Caenorhabditis elegans: one gene and its partner. The protein of the gene in region 1 purifies or fractionates together with the protein of each later gene. This does not show direct contact. Each region holds a gene or a part of one and is shown on either strand. Other genes may lie near its edges.

Region 1 (10,059 bases):
ATTTGAGGGTTGGAACAGGTACAGGAAAAGTAAATGCAGTTTTACCATTTTGGTATGAAATTTTGAAAGGCTCCGTGGGTATTTATGATAACCTGGGATCATCGAAACAGTCAAATAGAATAAGAAAATAAATATTTTTAACAATAAATATATGATGTTTATGTTGAAAGTTTGGTTCAAAATGTTTAGTCTGGCTTGTTGGTTTGATGCACTCCAACACAATTCATGAGAAATGGTCTTGTTGTGTGTGTGTGTTGTTGATCAAAGAAATGTTGATGATGATTCAGGTATTCAAGATATATGGGAGAGTAGCACCTATTATCAATTGGTCCAATTTCTCAATTTTTCAGATCAGGTGTGCAGTTCCCTTTCTTTATGGTGTTTACAGAAAAAAGGAAAAAAATCTATAATGTTAGGTGAAATAATTTGGAATTTCTTTGTATTTTAGAGTTTCCACGAAGGCGTAAAACGCCTATCTGCCTGACCTTGAGCCAATCTCCGCCTGCCTCTCGCCTTAATGCGCGCCTTATGCTAAAACATAGCTAAACTTTTTTGTTCTTTCTTAAAGGTGGACTACGCTCAGTGGGGAAATTGCTTTAAAACACGCCTATGGGGCCACAATGACCGAATATCATGATGAAAAAATTCGAAAAAATTTTCTAGATTTTATATGATTTTCTGAAAATTGGAAAAATCACAGTTTTTCCCTAATTATTTTTGAATTTCCGCCAATTGGATTTGTTCGGTGGAGCGTGCTTGCATTATTTTTATTTATTTATTTTATTTATTCTCGTTATTTGACTGATTTTCTTCATTTTCTATGTTTTTTTCTCGGAAAATGAAAGAAATAAACAAGACGCAAGACGCAAAATGTTTGTTAAAAAGTAATTAAAAATAAAAAAAAGTATATTTCACAGTTTTACTCATTTTCAATTACTTTTTAACAAACATTTTACATTCATTTTGTTTATTTCTTTCATTTTCCGAGAAAAAACCATAGAAAATGAAGAAAATCAGTTAAATAACGAGAATAAATAAAATTAATTATTAAGAATAATGCAAGTGCGCTCCACCGAACAAATCCAATTGGCGGAAACTCAAAAATAATTAGTTGAAAACTGAGATTTTTCCAATTTTCAAAAAATCATATAAATCTAGAAAAAATTTTTGAATTTTTTCATAATGATATTCGGTCATTGTAGCCCCGAGGCGTGTTTTAAAGCAATTTCTCCACAGAGCGTAGTCCACCTTTAATTTAATTTTCAACAAATTGATGAAAATTAGAAAAATTGACATTTGTAAATTTACGTCAAAATGCAAAAACGAGGCTACAGAGCCGGATCCGCTGTCAAAGTACAACTATCTCTTGGATGTTGACAAATCGATTCCACTTGAAGAACATTATCACGGCGATTTTTTCGAAAAATATCCGCAATTTGTGAGTTAACGGGTGTTCTTTTGGAAGCTATTGATAACCGTTTCAGAGAGTTCCAAATGACAAGAGAGCCACTCATTTCATCGTGAAAACTGACAAGAACAATGTTTTGAATGTCAAGGAGCATCATCTTCCGCATATTTTCAAGTAAGAAAGGGTTATTTAAAATTTTAAAAAAGCGCCTTAAGCTAATTATTTCTGTTTCCCAGTTAGTATTAATAAGCAATCGACCTTTCATGTGTGATATTGTATTGTAAAGGTTTGAATTTTCAGATAAGCTAATAGAAAACACTAATTCAATGTTAGATTGCTAAGCTCCTAAGAAGTTAGCATGCCCGCCGCTTGCTGCCGATTGATAGCAACACTCGCGAGGTGTCGGGCGCTTCTCGCCTTCTTATTTTTCTAACATATTTCCTTCAGCGCATCTATGCTCATGGGACATCGTTGGTTGAAGGCGTGTCTAAACAATTCTGCTCACATCACTGACAATAAGAAATTCCGCGTGACAAAGATGAGATTCCAAGGAAAAGTGTATGAAACTGTGGTTGCTATCAAAAATTTCATCAATCGAATGAATGTTCCGTTTTTGTTCGATATTGGAGTTTCGTATAACAATCATGTACTGTTTTAGGATTGTAAGTTTTAATTATTACTAGTTGTCTCAAAAATGTCTCAAAAATGATTTCAGGGATCACATTTCGCAAGGTTGTTGCTCAACTTGGAGTATTCGATGGTGTTGGTGAGTTTCCGGCTTTGTGCCCGAAACAAGGAAGCTCGTACCACAGAGATGATATGCCGAGAAACTTTGTCCTGTCGCGTCCAGAAGATAGACATCAAGTTAAAGCGAGTTTCAAGGATAGATGGTTGACTGATCCACTCTTCTGTTTTATGGACACGGATAAATTTACTCACTTTTTGCTTCGTTTTAAAATCACCACGAAACGCGTTTTGAAGTATGAAGCAAAGGGTAGAAACAATGCTACATGGAAGGATAAGACAAAGTCAGGGGAGGAAACCGATTTGGAGATGAGTGGTTCTGAAGTTAGATCGAGTGAAGCTTCGAATGGATCTGTGGAAAACCCCACCTCGAAGATCGAGTCGGGGACCCCAACTTCGAGAACTTCAGGGAATTGATAGAAGATATGAATGATAGTGAAGAAATGCACAATCTAGAGCTTTTTTGTAAAATTATGTGCTTGTCATGCATGAAACTTTAGTGCAAATAAACTCATCGAAATTACATAGTCATGGTGCACTATTACTACGATAGTAAAACAGTCGAGAATTTACTTAAAATTTGCTGAAAATCGAGTACTGTTTTATAGCGACCGGCATCTACCGGGTCACGAAAAAGGAATAGCGAAAAAGGAAAAAGGAAAATCTAACGAAACTGATACTTTGCGGAAAAAGTAGGAATTCGGCAAAATTTTGAATTGCAGTCGCTGTGCCGATTTTTCAACTTTTCATATTTTGTTCTTAATTTTTTAATAGGTTTTTCATGCATTTTAAACTTTGGATTTTTATATGCATAAGGTGTTTCTGCAGATAGGGAAGCAAAACACTCCTAATAAAACGTTGAAAGCATTTCCATTAAAATCCGACACAAGGTGCGGTGGCACAGAGACAAACTTGCAAACGTTAGCACGTCAGCAGAAATTCACGTCAAAAACAAAACAACATTTTCAAGATTTAAATTTTAAAAAAGTCCTTACTTTATATATTTACGTGGCCGCTTATTTATTTATCAGTTCCAAAAATCTAAAACCACGTCATTCAACTCTCGGGGGACCTCTCCACACTTTTGATGATTATTCATTTATTTCCCGATTCAACGCTGTTGTGGATAACAAATTCATATCGATAAGCTTGATATTAAAATGTGAGTTTCAATTTTCCGGATACTTTGGCAACAACCAATTTTTTTCAGGTTATCTATAAGAATCGTTTCTATGATATTCTTGATATCGTTGGCATTCAATTGTTCAAATACACTGGAAACGATTAAAAACGTCGCACGTTCGGAAAGAGACACTGGACAAGGTAGGCGGAATGGTTGGAGTTAAAACTTCCATGTGAGGCATGCGCGGGTTCTCTGAAGTCTAGAGTCTTTCGCAGCAGCCGACGATTTTTGGGTTCCACAACACACTACAAAGAAGGTGTAATGCGTGCGAAGATCGCTGCTAGCTAGACGCGGTTTAGTTACTGTCACCTTCTTTCATGCCTACGCCTACCTACCTGCCCATTTTGGTTGTTGCCTACCAACCGTATGTACCGCTGAACCGTACTTTTCTCATAGCTGCAAGTCTTTCAAAGATGTCAATTTTGAATGAAAAATCATCAATGCGTGGTTTTCAAATTTTTGACTATTTCGTAATCGTTTGAAAAAAACCAACAAATGATAAGAAATGATATTTTCGACGAGATCAAAAGTTTCAATATGAAACAACACGCTCAATTTTAAAAAAAAATTATAAATTCTCAAATGAATTTTTCAGGTTCTTCTTCATCCCTTCAACAAATGACCGACGACTTCTCGTCACTTGCGCGGCTCTTGAATGGCATACTACTTCAACAATTGCTCACCGATGGCTCTCTTGTTGCCACTGAAACGATCGCCGATCTTTTTAATATTCCGAATGGAAAGGCTATTGAACGAGTGATTGCAACCGATGTTCATGTCAAGAGTACATCCAAACTCGTTTCCTTCACAGTTGATCACGTAAGCAAGCTTGCGGAGAATGCAATTAACGCTTCAGTGACTAGAGATCAGTTTGAGACACTTTCCTCAATAATTCAGCGTTTCAATAATCTTGCTAATGTCACTGATAACTCGTTGCTTCTTATAGAAATGTTACCAAAGGATTTAAATTTGAAGGCAACAACTTTTCAGCCAATGTTTCGTGTTTTGACGTCAATTAAAGAGACGTTGAGCACTACTCCTTCGAAAACTGTATCTGACTCTCTGAAAGAGTTTCAGTCACTCTACGATACTTTTCATTCACAACTTTTCAATATGTTTGATTTGGACAGAGTTGCAGTTGACGTATTGAAGTTGAAAGGTGTGCACAAAAAACTTGAACCCATCTATCAAAATTTTCTGTTTGTAAAAGACTATAGAAAATACTTTGCCGATTTTAAACATTTGGCATCCACAACTGATGATGAATAATTCAAGAGTACTTCTAGATATTATTAAGAAAAATTCTGCGTATGCTGAGATGACTGCCCAACTCTCAAGTACTCGTCAAATCATTCATTCTTTGGTATCGAGAAGAGAAACGGCAACGTTGAATTACGTCGGATTTCCAAAAGGAATTGAGGATCTTGCTCAGATCAAAGATGACCTCAGTGGAACATGGTTGAAAGAAAAGCTTGCGAGTCAGAAGAGTATGAGTGAACTCTCCAAACATTTGGAACTTATACATCAGCTTCCTAACGAACTTAAAAATTTGAGCTCAAGTTGGGACGATATGAGGAATGCTTCCACAACACGTATGCCATTAACTGATGCTTTGATCTTTCAACTCGGGAATTTTTGTGATTTAAATAAACATTTGGCAGGGATTTCCGACATAGAGAAAAGGACAAAATCTATCAACGATATTGTTAATGAATTGAAGGACATTCCAGATGATGATGCTCTCAAAGATTTCGATAAGTTCTATGAGTTGAAAAAATCTTTCGAGGATATTAGCGATCGAGTTGAAAGTCTGAAAGGTTTTTTGGCTGAACTTGAATGCTATAACATAACACGGGACGATTTGAAAGCTATAGTAGTTTCAATTAATAACGCTGCTGGAAACGCTGTGGATAATTTAAACGACACGCAGATCTTGGATAGAGTGAGGAAGATACGAAAAACCGTGGGTTTTATAGAACTGTGGAATATTACTCATTTTTTTGCGACAAAGTTGCCAACTGATTTGGAAGATAAGGTGAATGAAATTGTTGGTAAAACAATCCAAAAGGAGTCTTTGGACCATTTTCAAAAAAGTTTGAAAAACTCTGGACTGGAAACTGTCTCAAAAAAATTTGCCAACGTCGGCTATAACGGATCTTCGATTGTTGTCAATTTACTTGAATTTATCAACAAAGCTCGGAAAATTGACACCGGCGCTTTACAAGAAATCCCAGGAATTCTAAGATTGCTCGAGAAACTGAAAAATGATTTTGTAGCTGCAGTTGAGCAGGTGAACACCAAGAAAACACAAAAAGCAAAGCAACGACGAGCTGCACAAAACAACTTGTCAGTTTCTCCAATTTCACGATCATTGGTTCTTGATTTTGCAAACGGTGTCATTGTTCTGAGGAAGATGTCTGAAGTCTATGAGAAGAGTGAAATCGTGTCAGCAGCGGCAAGTTCGGCAGACGATGTGAACAATTTGATAAGTGGTGTGCCTGTTTATAAAAGTTCGTGGACAAAAGTGAATCGGGATGGAATGATAAAGTTGGTGGATGATTTGAAAAAGCTGGAAAAGTATGCAAAAGATCAAAGAAATGATAAGCATCTCAAGGACGTTGGGGAATTGTTCAAGAAGATTTTCGAGATCAAAGGAGTTCCGATTGACGCGTCGGACTTTGCCAAATATGATGTAGCAATTGTGAAAGCTTACAATTCATTGCCTCAAATCCTACAGTATTTCCAAGAGATGTTCCCGGTTAGAAATCAGAAACTAAACAAACCATCGCATCCAATGCAAACCAATGCATCAAATTTGGTTTCCAATCACGACGATGGAGATGAGGGACAATCGGGAGGGTGAGCTTGAAATTGGTTTCTTTTAATTAAAACAAAGTTTTTTTTAGACTGGTCTATATAATTATTGCCGTTTCAATATTCCTACTTGTTCCTGTGATAATTTTCTTCGTTTTGCACTTTCTACTCAAACGCTTCACTCGAAAACGTAAAAAATGAATTGAATATTCCTACGACAAAAATTTTGTTTTTCAGTTGACTATTTGACCCAGCTCAATGATCCGGAGACGTGGGTTCTGCTCTCATTTACTCCTGAAAACATTCCTCAAGAGTTTCAAGAACCGGGTTATGCCATTCCGGCGTTCAAGCATCTTCACAATGACAACATTGACGAGTTCAAGAAAAGTCTAGCTGCTGGTGCATATGTCGATGCTAAAGGTATTCCATATATTATAGGTTTTCCGTAATAATATTTATTTGAAATAATTTCAGTTCAAAGCTCTAAATCTTCCAACACATTGCTACACGAAAGCGTCTCACTTGGACAGGGCGAGTACGTAAAACAGCTTCTCAAGTATGGTGCAAGCTGTGATGTTCTCAATCATGATCAAGAGACACCGCTGGAGTTGGCTGAAAAACTTGGCCATCAGAATTGTATTAAAGTGCTCAAGATGTTTGAAGGCAAGACATTTGATATTGTTCTACCTCAGCAACTGAATCAGGGCGATTACAATATCAGAGTTGAGCAGCATCTTCGCGAGGAAAGTGGGCATTATGATGGGTTTTGTAAGAAGTACTTGTATTTGGTAAGTGATTCTTTGCGGGGTTTCTCAAAACTTGGAACAGTTTTTTGATGAATATTGAATGAATAGTTCATATTTGCCTGGTCGAGAAGCATGCCTTTAAGTCACGTTGTTTCAGTCTGTCCCATTACGGTTTGATCTGCCGAAAATGCGGGAATTTTTTGCCCAAAAAATGTGACGCCAGCACCAGGGGAGAGCGGCAAATCTCAAAATTTGCCGAGCTCGGCAAATTCGGCAAGTCTATTTTTCCAGTATTTGCCGAGGTCGGAAAATTCGACAAATTCGGCAAATTTGCGGTGTTTGACAAACTCGGAAAAATTTGATATTTTATGATGTTTTTTGGAGCATTTTGCCAAATTTTTGCCGAAAAAATCAACAGTTTTGGTCAAAATTGTACTTTCAAATTTTTGACGTGTGCGGCAAATTTCGAAATTTGCCGAGCTTGGCAAACGGCAAATTCGGCAAATTTGCCGCACACTCCTGTTCGGCACGTTCTTAACCATGCAAAATCAGTTGAGAACTCTGCGTCTCAACTCCCGCATTTTTTGTAGATCTCAGTAGATCAAGCCGACATGGGACACTCTCGTTTGGTTGCCCTTGTGCTCGTAGTAGCTCATGCTATGTCAGCAGCGCTCTGGACATCTTGTCACTACTATTCTTACAAGGTGTTGTTGAGTTTGAACTATATTTTCATATTTTTCATTGCTGTGTTCGGATCAGTGGTTTTTAGCGAAAGTTGCTAGATTTAATAGATTTGAGAAAGCGCTGTGAAAAAATTTCTAATAAGCTTGCAATGTTTCAAATACTTTTTAAAATATGTTCACAAATTGTTTACAAAATCTTGCAAACTTTTTTACTAATTATATACAGATCTTTGTACCAAATTTTTTAAGCAATTTATCTAGCTAGTACACAGCAAATCTCCATCACTTTCTAATCCAAAAAATGTTCCAGATGGATGATTGGGAACGCCCGTTCTCTCATTTCGTGGTCAAAACTGATTCGGAAGGTGTTTGGAACATTGTTGAAAATGAAGTCCATATTGTGTTCTGGTAGGTTCAGATTTTAGGTATTTCCTCGAAAAATTTACTTTTACAGTGCCGCAATGGTTATGAGTGAGAGTTGGTTGAAAGCATGTGTCAGCAGTTCATCAAATATCGCTGGAAACAAGAAGTATCGTGTGACAAGAATGACGTTCCAGGGAAAAGAATATGGCACCTTGCTTCAAATCAAAGACTTTTTCAATCGAATGAATGTTCCATACCTGTTTGGTACGAATGTTACGTTGTATAATTCGAATTTCAATTGTTCAAAATGTAAGTTCAACTTACTTCAATGTTGAAAAATAAATTTTTTTAATGTGAAAATATTTCAGGGGATCAATTCCAGCATGTTCTAACTGAATTGGGAGTTTCACCGGAGCATTTGTTTGATGGCAAATGGAATTGGGTCAGGGGACCAAGTTATCATCGCAAGGACTACCCGAAAAACTTTTTTGTTCACTTTGAGGCCGACTACTTGAAAACTGAATGGGACTACAAGAATTCAATGTTTGAAGAAATGCACAATGAGATTCTGAGCACCGACGAGTTGATTCATTTCTTGTTGGCTTTTGAAATCAATTCCGAGAAGGTTTTGGAAACGAATGCGAAGAATAAAAAATTGAATGGGCTACACAAAGCGGAGGCGAGTTCTGTGGTGAAAAGTGAGAAAGAGAAGAAGAAAAACAAGAGGAATACGGCGGATAACACTACAACTACGGGAGCTACGGGAACCACGGTGACAACTGGGACAGAGTCAAGTACCTTGCTTGGAAATGAAAATGAAACCTCGTAAATTATGGACACTAGATTATAAAGAACGTTCTGAATAAAGTTTGTGAGGAATTTTTTTTTTTTTTCAAAATAAAATTCCAAAGCAAAACAGTCGCATACTGTTTTGGGCTCAGCTTATGTGTTGCTTCGTTATTTAGAAACGATTGGGCATCTGTATTCAGAACAAGTGAAAATAGCAGTATGGAATTAGTTTCACTTTTTAGTGGCACTTTTTGGACGCCTACCTGCACGCCCCCTGTACTTACTTACACAGAAATGTCTATTTCGTTAACTTCCCATTGTTTTTTCTCTTTCTCTTCTTTTTAAAAGTTTTATTTTTTAACTGTTTTTTTTAGTTGTTTTAATGAGCGCATATATAGTAAAAATTATTAACCTATCCAAAAAAGTACGATTACCTCACTTTTTATACTACATACACTCAAAATAATAAAACTGCGTGGCGTGTACTGCAGAAAACCTAATATTTAGGCCCCGCCTTTTTATCGTCCACTCACGGGGAAAAGGCAAAATTCGGGGACCAACCAATATCAGGCCGCCGACATCCTACGGGTTCCGCGCGCCGCTATTTTTAACTCGTTGTGGGCGCGGCAAACTGTCTCCGCCCGCTGCGAGTTAAACATAGCGGCGCGCGGAACACGTAGGATGTCGGCGGCCTGATATTGGTTGGTCCCCGAATTTTTGCCTTTTCTCCGTGAGTGGACGAGAAAAAGGCGGGGCCTAAATATGAGGTTTTCTGCAGTACACGCCACGCAGTTTTATTATTTTGAGTGTAGATAAGCCAACTGTGCAAGTTTAAATTTTATTTTTTTATGAGCCTCTTGTTTGGAAATAGAAACGAACCTCGTGAATTACACTATATTAAAAAACGAATTTCGAATAAAGTTTGTGAGAAGTTTTGTTTCAGAAAAAAAATCCAAAGCAAGTTTTAAGTCTCATACTGTTTTGAATTTAGCATATGAAGCGCATCGTTTTTAAAAGTTAGTGGGCGAATGTAAAACTTTCAAAATGTTCATAGTAGTCTAGAATTCGCTTTGTCAGTCACCTGCACGCCTCAGTTCTCACATGTACTTATTTACAAATAAATGTTTCTAGGAAATTGAAAAAATAAATAAAAAGAAAACAGTAATGTGCAAGTTTAAATTTAATTTATTTATGAGTGTATTGAAACAGTAATTTCACAGAAGCTGTGCTCTAATTCTTTAAAAATTTAACAAGTGAGTTCTATTTTAATTTAAGACTAAGGCTAAGGAACAATCATTTCTAGGTGTGAAAATTGAAAAAGCGTCATCA
Region 2 (7,862 bases), on another chromosome or scaffold:
AGATTCGAAAATCTCGAAAAAGTTCAACAAAACGTTATTTTTACATAGTTTTAAAGATAAAATATACAAATTCAGACGATGCGAACGCGTAGTTGACGGAGCCCAGTTTGCAGTCAAAATCGTATCACAAAAGTTCGCAAGTCAGGCTCAACGTGAAGCACGAATTCTTGAAATGGTTCAAGGACATCCGAATATTGTTCAACTTCATGATGTACATTCGGATCCTCTTCATTTTTATCTCGTCATGGAGATTCTGACTGGAAATGAGCTGCTCGAGAGAATTCGAAAATTGGAACGATTTACAGAGGTTAGAATTCTTTTAAGCATTTCTTTAATTCGGAGTTACTCTGAAAATTAAATTTTTAGAGTGAAGCAGCAGACATCATGCGGCAGTTGGTATCAGCTGTGAAATATCTTCATGATAAAAGAATTGTTCATCGAGATTTGAAACCAGAGGTGAGTTTCAATGATCAGATTATGTTAAGTGGCTGCAAAATAATACAAAACATAAGAATAAAATACTTCCAAAAAGTGAAACAAATTAATAATTAAAGGTGGAGTATACTCGAGTAGTTAGAAAATTATGACGCAATTTTTAAAAAAACGGGCACAGTTATTCTTATTCCAGAATATTCTATTTGAAAGTATCGATTCAAGTGCCCGCCTTCGTCTAGTCGATTTTGGATTTGCACGTCTACTTCCAAATTCAATGGAACAACAACTGAAGTCTGTTCAAGTTCTGCGCAAGATGTACGGTCTCATCGCACACAATCATTCACTCCACTCGGAGTAACATTTAGTCTAGTCAAAAGTTATTGTGTTTTGTCTTTTTTCACTCATTATTGGGCATATTTTTGTTTTTTTTTCTTAACTGGGAGCATGTGTCTCAAGCTGAAAATTTAAAAGAACAAATGTTCGAAAAAAGTTACTTTTGGTAGAGAGGAAGACGGTGGTGTGTGATGTTTCGTGCATTCTTGTTACAGATTATCTTCTTTTTCTATCCTTTTAAACCTTTCTTTTCACTTATCTCTACTAAGGGTTTCTTTCTTGATTTCAGAGATTTTTGAAGAAACACACTCATTCTCTGACTCTCACTTGATTTTCAAGACAAAGCTGTTTACTAACAATTCACAAACACTCACATTAAGTTTCTCAAATTTTCTGTAAACTTGAGAGTTAGAGAATGCCCAATTCATCTTTGAATAACGTTTGTTTTCACTAATAGCTTCTATATATTTGCCTAACTCTCACTATGAAATTCTTCAATCATAATTACAGGACCCCCTGCTTCACACTACAGTATGCTGCTCCAGAAGTTTTAGATGTTGGAGATTCTCAACCAGAATACAACGAACAATGTGATTTATGGTCACTTGGAGTTGTACTGGTTAGTTGTATAATTTTGTAATAATTTAATGTTTCAAAAATCGAAGTAAAAATTTTGAGAAAAAACAAAAAGACCCCTCAAATTTAAGAAACGATTGATAATCGATAAAAATCACGAAATGGAAGCATGCAACTACAGTACCACATCGTGAAAAATTTTTTGGACGCATTGAGAACCCTGGTTATTAGAAATTCATAAGAAATATTTTAAATTGTGTGGCACATTTTCTACGAATAAATTTTTCAGTTCACAATGCTATCGGGTCAAGTTCCATTCCATGCACGTTCTCGTCAAGAATCGGCAACTGAAATAATGCAGAGAATTTGTAGAGCAGAATTCTCATTCACAGGAGACGCATGGACAAACGTGTCAGCAGATGCTAAGAATTTAATAACCGGTCTTCTTACTGTGGATCCAAAGAAACGTCTTTCAATGCAAGAGCTTACAGCTCATATGTGGCTCAAGTCTTCGGCTTCAATGGATACACCACTTCAAACTCCTAGTATTCTGCCATCATCAGCAGGTAGTTAAACTGATGTTATTGAAAATTGAATAACCTAATCTTTTGACTTTTCAGATGAAACATTCAATGAGACACTGCGCGCATTCCTCCACGCTAATCGTGATGGATTCCATCTTCTCGATGTTGCTGCTGCTCCTCTCATGAAACGACGCGGAATCAAAAGACAATCTGGGGACAAGGATGCTTCTGGAAACTCGAAAAAGTGAGTTCAAGAACCCTAATATTTGAAACTCCTCCAATTTGGGGTACGGTTTCAAAGTGCACAAGAAACACCACATTTGACGACATTTCTCTAAAATTTTATTTTTTAGTTTTTAAGTTTGCAAATAATTGTAAATTCCTTATTTTATACTATTTAGAACGTCTATTCAAATATTATATTTATGAAATTATTAATAATAATTATTTTCTAAAAAAATATGATACTTCTAATTTTGATCGCATTGTGAACATTTTCGTTTCTGAAAATATACTTTCATTTTCAACAATTTATGTCATTTTCCAGTTCGCGAGTTACCCAATTCGAGTGTCTTCCGGAAGAACAAGAAGCAGAGATGACATCATCAACATCCCGTCCAAGCAATTTGGGAATGATGAACTATCGAGAACCAAATTCTGGAACAATCCGAGAAACTCGTGGCTCAGACTCCTCCTAGACCTTTTTCTTTGTTTCTTTTAATTTTTCTTCCTTTCTGTTCCTGTTTCTCTCACTGTTTGCGTTGTGATTCTTTCGTCCTAGATGCTTTCTAGTCTGTACTCTCTCATTATTCTCACTATTTTACAAATTTTCCGTCACCTGACACTTGTGGCATTGCCTTCTCTATGAGTACAGTTGCTGAAATGTTCATTGAACCTGTAGTGATTGTCATTTGTTAGATATTTCGCATTTCTAGTCAATCCTCTACCAATTTTGAAAAATATTGTGATTCGTGCATTTCATTTTATGTTATTATATCTAGTCTCATGTAAATTTCTAATTTTTTATAATCATTTTGTTAGATACACATATCTTTATTCATCCACCTATCCCCATGTAATCTTTTCATTGTCTCCAGTGACTCCCTGAACTCTTGAACCATTTCCAGAAATTCTTCCATGTTTTGCGATGAGCATGATTGACTTGCCAATCGACTTTTTGAAAGATTAATAAAATTAAGTAATTCGTTTTACATATTTATTTTGGAGAAGGTTTGAAAGCTCCGAATCATAATATCGATTGAAGCATCAACGTGAAAACCTGATGTAATGTGAGAAAATAAAATATGGAAGTGAAAGCATTTTAGAGAATATTTTTAGCGATAAGAGCTTGGTGAAGACGGTGAAGTGGCAAACCAACCACATTCGGCATACATCCTTCGATTCCACGAACGAAGACAGCGCCAAAGTCACCGATTCCATATGAACCTGCTTTTTTCCTGAAATTTCGATTTACTAGGTCAGTTATTCGTGTTTTTTTATTGGAGTTTTCAAATGTCGTGATGAAAATGATGAAAAACGTGATGAAAATTTTAAAAATCCCTCAAGTTTTGCAGCTCTTTCAAATACTCATAAAATGTTCAAAATTTCTTGACCGCCAATTTTTCTTTCATTTTTATGACTTTAGATAAGAAATTCAATTCCAAAAATTTTGATAACTTTCAATCAATAAATATTTCCATAACTTTTTTTTGCTAAAAAAAACTAACAATGGCTCTCCGCTTTTTACATATTCGTCGATAACTCTATCAGGAATATCTCCAAAATGAACAATTGTTTTCTCGATGATCTCTTCATATTGATCAGTTTCATGATAGTGTAGAGCCATTCCAGTATATACATTATGAGTATTGTTACGAAGTCTGAAATTAATTTATACAATTATGATGTTGAAAATTTAATTACCTTTTCAAAGTTTCTTTAGCGTCATTGGCATCTGTTGGTTTTCCAATAATTTCTCCATTGAATTCGATTACTGTATCACACGCAATAATAACAGAGTACGGCTCCTTAATAATTCATATATTAATATAATATCTCAGTTTTTATAATTTCAATTTTAGATTTTAAAAATATGGTAGCAGGTCTCGATATGCTGCAGCACTCTGAAATTTTGCGCAAAAAGTTTTAGGTCGCGTCGAGAAATGTTGCCGTATTTTTTTTGTTGAATTCCGATTTGTTTTTCAACTAATAACTATATTCTCAAGTTACTGAAAAAATAACTATACCTCTTTTCTTTTCATTTCTTCCACAATAGTCGTCAATTTTCCTTTAGCTGTTTCAATGACAAACTGCTTAACTGGCAATGTTTTTGGTAGATTTTCCTCGAAATTTGAAACTTTTACGATTACATTTTCCAATCCCTGAAACCGAAATAAATCTTTCTTTTTGTAGATTCTCATTTTCTCACAATTTGCTGCAACAATTTGAGTCGATTTGGTGACTGACTTGCCAATACAATAATGGCTTCTTTCATTCCGAACTTGCCGTCGTGGGCGAAACACGTGGATCTGAAATTTCGATCGGCTCTTGTGCTCAGTCAATTATTCACAAAAAGTTGGGGACATCCGGATGTAATTAAACAGTACGTTTTGTTTTAATTGAGAAATTGAGAAACTAATAGATAATTAATTATTGTTATTATTATTTTAGAATGGCAAAATATCGCAGAGATGTCATGTCAAAGAGGCTTGTGATGGATTATGTGAAAGAACTTAATCCCAAAATCGACATTGTGAAGGTAAATTTTAATTTCTCAAAAACATTTTTCAATAATAAATAATTCTCAGAAATATTCAAAAAATGGCGTAACTTCATACGAGGGATTTTTCGCAAGTCCTCATGCCACTCTCTTTCCCAATCATATGCCAGGAAACGTCGGTCGAGCACATTTCAGAGCATATCTTCCTCAGAAACCAGGCCCCGTATGCATACATTTGGCAGGCACCGGAGATCACTCTTATTTTAGGTAAGAAAATTGAAAATTTATTTTAAAAAATACGGTACCTGGTCTCGGCACGACAAATTTTTTTGTACTTTAAAACTCGCTGCAGAGTTTTTAACTTACAGTTTCCTTTAAAGGCGCACACCTTTTTGCATTTAACAAAATTCATCGTGTCGAGACCGGATACCGTATTTTTGTCACAAAGATCGAAAAAGTTTGCGTCTGAATAATACATATTTAATCTAAAAAGAGAAAAAAACTCAAAAACTGAGATAAAAAGTATCGCATCTTACATAGATGCATAAATCGAATAATGATTCTTATCAGAGACCACAAAAATTTCGAAAAAATGCAAAAAAATCAAAACTGGTATCATAGATCACTATTATTTCAGACGTCACTATCTTCTTGTTGATGACATGCTTAAGGATGGTGTGGGATCTATTTTAATTCAAAATCCATTTTATGGAGATCGAAAACCACCGAATCAATTCCGTTCTTCTCTTGAAAATGTGACGGATCTTTTTGTGATGGGTGCCGCTTTAATTGCAGAATGTAATCATCTTTTCAATTGGTCTGAGACACTTGGATATGGTCCATTTGCAATTTCTGGTGTCTCGATGGGTGGATTTATGGCTCAACTTGCTGGATCAAATTCGCAACGTCCAATATCAATAGTTCCTATTCTTGCATGGACGACAGCATCACCATCATATACGGAAGGAGCTATTTCTCCAGCTGTTAATTATTCTTTACTGCAGAAACAGCTCGAAGATCCTCACTATGTTGATAAAATCCGAAGAATTCCGAATCAAAATTGGCTGGATAAAATGCGAGAGATGACTGCGAGAAACGGTGATTCAGAAGCCAAGAATATGATGAGAATTTTGATGGATGACTTCACAAGTCTTGAATTCTATCCAACACCAATAGACACATCACTATGCCATGTATTCTTGGCTGATCAGGATCAATATGTACTGCGAAATCAAGGGACACCAACATATCAACAATTATGGCCTAATGTAACTGTTGAAATGATGGAAGGATATGGACATGTTACAGCATATCTATCGAAACATGATCTTTGGCGTCGAAGAATAACCGAATTGCTCAGACGGCAACAGCAGAAAACAATTTAAAATAATTTGCATTTTTACTAGAATTTTGATTTTCCGTTTCTTCTTGTGATACTAGAACTCCCATAGCCAAATTTGAGATTGTCTCTATTTTGACATTACCGGTTTCTCTTTCTCAGTGTGCCTTTTCATAAAATAGAACTATGTCGGTAATGAACATTTTTCAACCAAATTCTACAAACATGATCTCCATATGCGATTTATAATTTAAAACTTTATTCGTCTCCACACTAAAAATAAATGTCGACGTTTTACCATTATTTGGTTTATTGGAAAAGAAAAGAAGGTATAAAAACGTGGTTACAGAGAAAAAAAAACGGATAAGAGATTTCCTATATAAAAAAAATATTCGAGAAAGTAATGATGCATCGAAAAAGTTCGTGAGCTTTTTAGTTTAAAAAGGAGTCTGACTATTTCGAATACAGCAAAAACTCTCAGAAAATGGAAAAATACTCATACTAAACTCTCCATTTTATTTTCACAATTAACAAACAACGGCGACAACTAAATTTTTCTAAACGGCTCCCGACGTCGTCCCCAATTTGAAAATTTTGGTGACTACGACGGTCGGATCGAGGGAGAGCGCGTTCTTTTTTTTTGAGGGGATGGAGGCTGTGAAAAAATGAACTAGGAGAGGAGGGTTACAAATACTCGCAATTTCATTAAATTTACAAACGATTAATCTCACAATATTTTATGAAATTGCGAGCAAATGATCGCTGATGGAAATTGCGGACGAATGAAGAGGATAATGAAAAAATAGCGGAAAGCTGGTGATTACTGAGCCTTTGGTGGCTCTCTTCCCTTGACCGTCTTGAACAAGAATTTCTGCGACTTCGTGAATGACCAGATATGTCTCTTTCCGTAGATCAGCACAACAGCCACAAATGGAATCAGAGCAGCGATCTAAATTATTAAAGTTTATTCACTTGTATATAATATTTTCTAAAATGAATTACCTTAAGAGCCCACTTCTTTCTGGTGTCATGGAATGGCTCTGCGGCCCAGTGCATGAATGCAGAAACATCCTTAGCTTGTTGAGACATTGTTGCTGGTGTTCCGTCCTTGTACTCAATTCCTTCGTCGAACAATTGTTGTGGCATAGAGATGATACCTCCTGGGAAGTATGGATTGTAAGCTTTTCCGTCATCAACCTGAAAAATGTTTCACTAATTCCTTTCAATTGTGTGCACGAAATACCTTCACTCCAGCTGGAGCCTCAAGATATCCAGTAAGAAGAGAGAAAACGTAATCATCTCCTCCGTGTCTAGCAAGAGCCATCAATGACAAATCTGGTGGAGCAGCTCCGTTGTTGGCAGCCGCTGCGGCCTTCTTGTTTGGATATGGGTTTGGCAACTTATCGGTCAGCATTCCTGGGCGCTGAATGGATGCTCCCTTATCGTCAACATCATTAATAAGAGCGTCAGCGGCCTCGGCTTTAGCTTCTTCCTTTAAAAAAAAGTCGTGATTAGCATGAAGTTATTATTTTATTCAAATTACCTCAGTCATGATTGTGTCAACGAAATGACGGTAATGCAAGAATTTCATCGAGTGGCAAGCTGCGCACACTTGCTTGTATACTTCGTATCCACGTCGTACACTGAAACATGAACGATTTATCATTATCCAAACTCAATTGAACCTACGAAGCAATGTCGAATGAAGAGAACGGTCCGCTGTGAGCCCATGGTAAAGCGTACGGGTGAACGTTGTCTCCGCTAGCGCTGACCGAGTTCTCCAAAGCGTAAACGAGTCCCATGCCTGAAGCGGCTGTGACTCCGGCAAGGGCCGCCAATCCACGCTGAAAAATACGATAATTAATTCACTGTTTATTTCAACATAAATTATTGTCTTCTAATAATAATTGGAGTTTTTGAATAGAAAGGACATAAA

What was found. The genes of interacting proteins can lie anywhere in the genome.
Region 2: the proteins of Y67A10A.3 (region 1) and C54G4.7 fractionate together in Caenorhabditis elegans (co-fractionation; one large-scale study listed by BioGRID). This does not show direct contact.

What each region holds. Positions count from the first base shown.
Region 1 is NC_003282.8:14,327,706-14,337,764, reverse strand, and holds Y67A10A.3 (uncharacterized protein), read left to right. Parts: upstream 1-3,305; 5' UTR 3,306-3,312; coding exon 3,313-3,314; intron 3,315-3,362; coding exon 3,363-3,475; intron 3,476-3,844; exon of another isoform or gene 3,845-3,868; intron 3,869-3,930; coding exon 3,931-4,494; intron 4,495-4,621; coding exon 4,622-6,194; intron 6,195-6,241; coding exon 6,242-6,339; intron 6,340-6,386; coding exon 6,387-6,569; intron 6,570-6,623; coding exon 6,624-6,937; intron 6,938-7,632; exon of another isoform or gene 7,633-7,653; intron 7,654-7,888; coding exon 7,889-7,986; intron 7,987-8,032; coding exon 8,033-8,250; intron 8,251-8,309; coding exon 8,310-8,770; 3' UTR 8,771-8,820; downstream 8,821-10,059.
Region 2 is NC_003279.8:8,016,506-8,024,367, forward strand, and holds C54G4.7 (AB hydrolase-1 domain-containing protein), read left to right. Parts: upstream 1-2,995; 5' UTR 2,996-3,157; exon of another isoform or gene 3,158-3,189; coding exon of another isoform or gene 3,190-3,325; 5' UTR 3,326-3,345; intron 3,346-3,595; coding exon of another isoform or gene 3,596-3,748; intron 3,749-3,791; coding exon of another isoform or gene 3,792-3,895; intron 3,896-4,114; coding exon of another isoform or gene 4,115-4,249; intron 4,250-4,280; 5' UTR 4,281-4,296; coding exon of another isoform or gene 4,297-4,348; coding exon 4,349-4,470; intron 4,471-4,538; coding exon 4,539-4,626; intron 4,627-4,675; coding exon 4,676-4,854; intron 4,855-5,224; coding exon 5,225-5,972; 3' UTR 5,973-6,141; downstream 6,142-7,862. Other genes in the region: rskn-2 (Ribosomal protein S6 kinase), read left to right, coding at 76-307, 367-456, 629-750, 1,279-1,387, 1,634-1,913, 1,965-2,112, 2,416-2,566; dod-18 (Nucleotide PPase), read right to left, coding at 3,190-3,325, 3,596-3,748, 3,792-3,895, 4,115-4,249, 4,297-4,362; cyc-1 (Cytochrome c domain-containing protein), read right to left, coding at 6,747-6,875, 6,929-7,123, 7,170-7,418, 7,470-7,569, 7,616-7,770.